Danio rerio: one gene and its partner. The protein of the gene in region 1 purifies or fractionates together with the protein of each later gene. This does not show direct contact. Links are inferred from orthologs where the notes say so. Each region holds a gene or a part of one and is shown on either strand. Other genes may lie near its edges. The genes, in order: smurf2 and tgfbr2b.

What was found.
Region 2: the proteins of smurf2 (region 1) and tgfbr2b purify together in Homo sapiens (affinity purification with western blotting; 3 studies listed by BioGRID). This does not show direct contact. The link is inferred for Danio rerio from reciprocal best matches to the Homo sapiens genes SMURF2 and TGFBR2.

The regions. Positions count from the first base shown.
Region 1 is NC_133178.1:24,026,184-24,030,016, reverse strand, and holds part of smurf2 (E3 ubiquitin-protein ligase SMURF2), read left to right. Parts: coding exon 1-183; intron 184-1,311; coding exon 1,312-1,387; intron 1,388-3,075; coding exon 3,076-3,175; 3' UTR 3,176-3,833. UniProt on the Homo sapiens protein: E3 ubiquitin-protein ligase which accepts ubiquitin from an E2 ubiquitin-conjugating enzyme in the form of a thioester and then directly transfers the ubiquitin to targeted substrates.
Region 2 is NC_133191.1:43,914,685-43,918,478, forward strand, and holds the end of tgfbr2b (TGF-beta receptor type-2), read right to left. Parts: intron 1,620-3,794; coding exon 1,431-1,619; 3' UTR 766-1,430; downstream 1-765. UniProt on the Homo sapiens protein: Transmembrane serine/threonine kinase forming with the TGF-beta type I serine/threonine kinase receptor, TGFBR1, the non-promiscuous receptor for the TGF-beta cytokines TGFB1, TGFB2 and TGFB3.

The DNA of each region.
Region 1 (3,833 bases):
GAAAGATCGACATCAACGACTGGAAGTCAAACACCCGTCTGAAGCACTGCACCCCTGACAGTAACATTGTGAAGTGGTTCTGGAGGGCTGTGGAGTCGTATGACGAAGAGAGGAGAGCTCGACTGCTGCAGTTTGTCACCGGATCCTCCAGAGTTCCGCTGCAAGGATTCAAAGCCCTGCAAGGTACCCGATGATGTCACAAATTTCTTAATTAGCATCCGGAAATTCACACCTGTATAGCCACATTCAATGAATACATAAACCAACACAAAAAGCAGTATTAGGAATGAAACGGCACACAACACTGATGCTTCAGTACATATCTCGATTTTGAAGTAACAGTTTCAGTGTTGCCAGATATTTATTTAAATCGAATTTTACCTTGTTACTTAAACTGTTATATATATTTTAAACAATACAGTAACCAACACCAGCAGTCATAGAACCACAACATAACCGGATCATATCAAAACACTGCCCCCCTCTCACCCACACACTGCACTTGTGTAGATTACACTACCTATTAGAGTGTTTTACTTTCGAAATGGGGTATAAATTGTCCCATTTGGCGTTTTAAATTCTTTTAAACTTAATAAGGTGCTGCTTGCCAATCAGACAAGACTTCTATGTTTGTTCTTGCTATTAATTATGGGAAAAAATGATCAATGGGCGCCAAACACTGAACAGTTTTTGGTATATTAAGGACTACAAAAGGACTATAATTTTTTTTTCAATAATGCTTTGCTGATGTCTTGAAATAAATGAAGTTATAAAGCATAATCTTAATAAATTATGTAGCCTAAATACTTGCTTATTACTGTAATGTTGAAGAGAATATAAGAATTATCAACAATTTAAATTATTAAACTGCTATTTATTTTGAGATTCTGTGTAAACATGTATGTTTTATTTGATTTATTTATTTCGAACATAAAATCATACATTTAAAACAATTCTTCGAACAAAATACATTTCATCATGATCAACAAAATATTTACTTATCCATATACACCTAAAATAACAAATTTATTTAGCAGGTGTCCTGACATTACATCCCACCCATCAGACTATGTTACCAACACTGTATTTGAATGGTTCTGAGGTAGGACTTTGGGATAAGTAGGTTACGGCGATATTACCTCTTTCATATCACACTAATTCAGCTTGTAATTTACACTAGTAGCAAAATCTGATGGGTAGCACATTGTCAGAGGTTGAACCCTCTGACAAGAGTAAAAAAACGTTGGTTCGGGTTAAAGCACAAGGTACTATTGATCTCTTAAAACTGAAATCTTACATGTCTGTCTGCAGGTGCCGCTGGTCCACGTCTCTTCACTATTCACCAGATCGATGCCAGCACCAACAACCTACCCAAAGCACACACTTGGTAAGCATGAGGTTTACACAATTAAATCTTTCTTGAACATCAAATAAACATAGAAGAATGATTTTTTTTAAGAACCGTGTGACACTGAAGACTGGAGTAATGATGCTAACAATGAAGCTTTACCATAATGTGGGTTAAACCATTTTTAAAGTGTACACTCAGTCACATGGAACCAATTTATTGAATACTTAATCAAGAAAGCAGCAATTAAGGGCATATTCACACAAGGCACAGTTGCCTTGAACCATGCCAAAATGCGCTTGTCCCCCTCCCCTCTCCCCTGACAGCCTGCACTCACACTGCATTATTACCTTTCGAGTTAAATCACGCTTACATCATCGATGATGCAGCAGTTTAGTTTAACAGACGTGCAGCGAGGGGTTTGCGTCTTTAATAACCTATGACATGTTGTATTCATTGAAAAGTAAGAATTATTAATAAATCCATATAAAGCAGTCTCTGTGTATTCACACTGAGAGCATCAATGTAGCCGGAAGTCATTCATTTTCAATGGAAGCCAGCGGCGAGGTGCATCGCGTCTTCACCAGTGTGAGCGTCGAGGAGAGTTGAAATCAAGTCAACTTTATGCTAATGAGCTATAATGTGGTTTAGCGGCAACCAATCGGAATGTTGAAGTCCACTACTTGAGAGGTGTCCAGAAAACACAGTCCTGTGAACTTTGATTTTGACCACAGTTGTTTCCAAGGGTTTTAATATTGTGTTTGCCAGATTTCAATTTTTTACGATGTTTTCTTACAGGGACATGCATTAAAAAAGTTACTGGCAAGTTACTGATGTGCATTAATGTATAATTTTTTTTTCTTTAAAAAAGCGGGAATCTCATGCAAAAATACAAATTAGTATTGCTGCTTCAGAATATTTCAGACATATGGACACATATTGGATAAGTGAAGCAAAGCCACACCACATGCAACAGCTTAATCTTCTATTGTTAAATTAGTTTCATAAAAAGTGTGCAACATTTTTATGCTAGAAAACATGTTTTATGCGGGAATGTGACTGATTTGCTGACATACTGAAACGGCCCCTTTAAATACAAGATCAATGCAGTGAATTTTTACTTCTCGAAAGCGAAGCTGTGAAGGCAGACAGCTTGTCGCTAGGTCAGCCAGAGAAAACTTTGGTGCTCTCACTGCTTTCAATGTGAACATACAGTTGAAAGTGAAGTTGCGTCTTCAGTTTTCAGGCTCAGGCACGCTTTGCACTCACACTACAAGCGTTCTGCGTATGAGCCCAGCTAAACTGTGATCTGGCACACCGGGCCGGCCAATAAACTGTGCCTGGGCCTGATTCGGAGCACTCACAATTGTCAAATGAACTGAGAAACACACCCGAGCATGGTTCGAATCGCCTAGTGTGAGTGCTCTTTAAAGCCTAACAGAAACAGCCCTGTTTATTTATTTTTCCCTTTACCTCGTATACAGAATATAATGGTAAAAACTATTGTAAAAAATAATGTATACAAATGCAATAGTATACATCAGAATTTTCTATACAACCAATTATTTTATACAGGAGTGATGTTTCACACTCTTACTATTTTATTGTTTCTCATCAATTATCAGTGTGTAAATATTTAAAAAACCTGTATTTTAAAACCAAAACATGCATATATTATTACATTTTGCCAACATCATCAGTCAACCATATTCGTTTGTGTTCAACAGCTTTAACCGAATCGACATTCCTCCATACGAAAGCTACGATAAACTCTACGACAAGCTGCTGACAGCCATCGAAGAGACATGCGGCTTCGCTGTGGAATGATGTCCCACGGCAGCGCTCACACAAGACCCTTTCTCCAGACGGGATGGACCGGTCATCCAGACCACAGGCGTGTGGGCCTCGCGGGGAAGCTCAGACGCTCGGGCTGAGGAACTGTGGATTACACCGCAGCACTCGACGCCTGATGCTGCTATCCCCATCTTTTTGCATTATTTGAAAAGAAGAGAAGAAAACAACCTATCTTTTCAGCTGCTAGTAACTCTTTTATTTACTATTTTGGAACCTCCTTATCCTCCTTTTGTTTTTTGTTTTTTTAAGTCCATATTTAGATTTTTTTTTTAGCATTAAGACGACATATTAACAGTATTTCATGTAGCATTTTGACAGACTAGACTTTAGGAGAGGCTGAACTTTAGCAGGGCGCAGAACAAGAGCGGCATAAGCTAATGTAGAAGCACTACTGTCCTTACCGAAGACGCCAATGTCAACAAAAGACTGCAGAGTTGGTCATTATTTTTGGGACTTGAAGTTTTTCTTGTTGCACAGGGTGCTGATCTTGGACCCATTTGGATCAGGGAAATAGACTCCGCTGGCTTGTTTTTGAGTGCCCTGCGCCGGATGCCATCTTGACTACCTGTGCTCTATTCCAAGAGACCACCGGTGTCCGCAGTCTAGCTTTATTTTTATATACGCTGTGAGA
Region 2 (3,794 bases), on another chromosome or scaffold:
CCAAACAAGCTTTATAATCAATCATCAGCTAAGTGTGAACTCTTGAAATTTAAATTTGTGAAGTGACACTTCATATTCATTCTCAGATTTCACTTTAGTCGGTGCAGGGGTATTTTAGCCTCTTCATGCTCCTTAATGCTGTGCCATCTATAATAGGCTATTCGTAATTTCATTTAATATATAACCACAATTTGTTATACATTATAAAGATAATCATATAAACACTATAAATGATAAGGACTTCTCTCCTCCTGAATCCCCGGGTCTGAATGCAGACACAGTAGATAGCAGTGCAGCAGGTCTCTTTCCCTATATATTTCAACTATTTGCCCTGTTGGTAATCTGGAGGATTTTAAACATGTGCAAACACAGCAGCACAGATATAGGCAATGTGTCTGAATGGTAACAAACTCAACTGATAAGACAAAGTCCGCCACTCTCTAATTCTCCTACAGCTCTCCCGACATAACTGCTTGCTGCACACAAACAGCTTTGCTGTATCAACCCTCACAGCATCATGGGGAAAACCCTACAGCAAACCCTGTGGATCATGGAAACAAACACATATGACACTTCATGAATGGTTAAATACTGAGTGCCGTGCACTGTCTCACAGCTTGATGCTTAAGTGATGCTCAACACACAGATCTGTTAAAATCTCAAAAAAGTACTCCAGTGTGTCTTGAACCTTTAAATCCAACACTAGTGTATTCAATATGTAAAATAATACACAATAATATGTACAACAAAATAAAAATGACCCACTTTTAGTATCAATCCTGTACATAAATGTCTTTTAATCATCATAGATTTACAATATATTACATGAAAAGTAGTAAAAGAGAGGCACAATTCAATATCCAGGATATGTGAACATAAGAGGCACATTGTGAGCTTCAAAATACTGTTCGTTTAACACCTTTCTTTGGTATGTGCAGCATATATATATATACTCTTCCCTTTTTTGGCCCCCTCAATAGTGTGGGTTGATTTTTTTTTACGTCACAAGCTGTATTTACAATATATTTTTCCTTTGGCTATAACAAGCACAATACACTTTTTGGCAAAAACAAACACACACACCATTCATGCACGCAAACAAACAAATCTCACATTCTTCCATAAATCCAGAAAATCCTGAACTGATCTGTAGGAAGTCTTAAAATCTCCTATGAATCTTTAGTGTTGAGGCGAAACATTTTCCTGATTACCTTTGGCTCTCGGTCAGCCGTCAGAGGAGAAACCCAGCATCTGTCCAGCTCCTCTTTCTCGCAGCGTGACCTTCCTCAGTGTGAGCTGTGAATAATCTGATAAAGTGCATGAAATCTTTGGTTATGAGACATAAAGCTTTATGAAAAGGCCGTATTCTTCTACGTTGCCTCGCTGGAAGGATGTACAACATTCAGTTTGTGCAGAGAGAGATCTTTCTCTCATTTGTCGTCGCTCACGCTCACGGCACAGTCTTCGGGAATCTTTTCCTCAGAGCTGCTGCAGGTGGACAGTTTGTCCAGGTCGTCGTCCATCTCGTTGAAGCGTTCAGCCACACACTGTGCAGTCAGCCGGGCTTCAGGGTCGTGATCCCAGCATTCATTGATGGTTGCACAAACTGCTGCCACTCCCTGGAGACAAAGCATGAGTGCGTGGGAACTTTTTTCTGTGTTTTTTATGAATTATTAGCCCCCTGTATAATTTACGTATAATCACCCAATTTCTGTTTAGCAGACAGAAGATTTTTTTAAACACATTTCTAAACATAATAGTTTGTTCTGTAGATAATCTAAACAAACAAAAAAAGCTTAAGGGGACTAATAATATTGACCTGAAAATTGTTTATAAAAAATTAAAAACTGCTTTTATCCTTGCCAAAATAAAACAAATAATGCTCTATTCACACTAGATGCTGAAGAAGCGCCAAACGCGAGTGATTTATATAAGTCAAGGCAAAGACGCGAATAGACATCGTGGATGCGATTCGCTTGAATGTAGCGACGCGAATTGAGCGTTTTTCTCATTTGATGCTCTTAACATGCTTCAAAATTTCCAATTCGATAGATTTCCGTGTGCAAATGCGTGAATTTATCGAGTCATTCGTGCTGCGTTAACCAATCAGGAGCTTGCTCTTGTAGGGGTGTGATTATGACGTAGTTCCAGCTGACCCCAGACAATAGCTCATCAAACTGGGCTCGGCTCAACCAGAAGCACTTTATCATCCATGAAAGCCTCCATCATCTAGGTATAGTTTCAGGAGGAGTTTATGAACTCACAGAGCTGGGTGAACCTCTGAATGTATCTAGTGGAGTTATTATCTCAATGACATCCATGTTAGCCACTTAGCAACGAAGCTAGAGTCATCTGGCAGAAACCCAAGGCCCACCCAAGACGCGTATCTGCTTCGATTGTGAAGTAAATTTGAAGTGTGAATGAAGTGAATTTGACGCGAGAATGAAGCAAGTTTTACGCGGGACTAAAGTGTATTTAATGCACAAATGAAGCGTTGCGAATGAAAAGTTTTTCACACTTAACGCGCAAATTTTGTGAACTGTTTAAGTTGGAAAATTTTAACTTAAGCGGATATTCCTGCTGCGTTAACCAATCAGGAGCTTGTACTTGGTGTGACTATGACGTAGTGCCTGTTGTTGGTGTCCCGAGGGGAAATCCTTTTGCAGACACCAAACAACAGTTCATTAAACTGGGCTGGGCTCAGTCAAAGACACAGCTGAAAGCCTCCATCATCCAGGTATAGTTTCTGAAGAGTGCACCTCTGAAAGTGTCTAGTGGACTCTCAAATAATTTTTTCAGCCTTCCTAAAGATCAAAAACACAGCTTATTTCTCAAAATTCATGTTAGCCATTTAGCAAGAGTCTAGAGTCACCAGGCACACAGAAGTCCTGTCCATGACGCAAATTGCATCTATTGTGAAGTGAATTTGACACGCAAATGAAGCAAATTTGACCCGCGAATAAAGCAAGTAAACTCAAAATGTTCATATGTCTATTTACCAGCCAATATCGCAACTTATTCGCACATGCCGCAACTGGTGTGAAAACAGCATCAGACTTTCTACAGAAAAAAAATATCGGAAATGATGTGAAAAATTCCTTGCTCTGTTAAAAAGGATTTGGAAAATATTTTAAGAAGAAAGAAAAATTCACAGGAGGGTGATTTATTTTGAATTCAACTGTATACAGTATGCCCACTTCCATGTTTTTCTAACTTTTTGTCTTTGATTTTGTCTTGTTTGTGGTCCAAATATAGTCTCTATTACAATGTTTTGTTTTCAGAAATAATAAGTCAAAATTGTGCTTTTCTTTAAAACAAGCAAAATAATGCAAATAAAATATTCTTGTTTAATAAAAAATTGAGATATGATTATTTTTCTTAACCCACTGGCAGATTATTTTCCTTGTTTTGAGGCAAAATCACTTAATTTTAACTTATAATTTCTAAAAACTATATTTTCTTTGACCAGAAACTGCCTATTGATTTAAGCATTTTTAGATGTTTGGACTAGAAAAATGACAGAAACTCTAGGTCAACAAAAATTATATATGATGTTGTTAATATATTCATAGTATTTATAATACAGTCAGCGGCCAATTAGATTTGCTACTTTTAGCATCTGATGGACACTTTGCTATCCCACAAGGCCTAAAGACAGGACTGAAGTCGCAGGGAAGTGATGAACTGACAGCATCAGTGAAAATATGGTGGACGTTGTACACACTACACACATTTACGTGTACTACACAGAACATGCCTTTTATACTTATAAATTAAAACAGCTTAAAACAAAT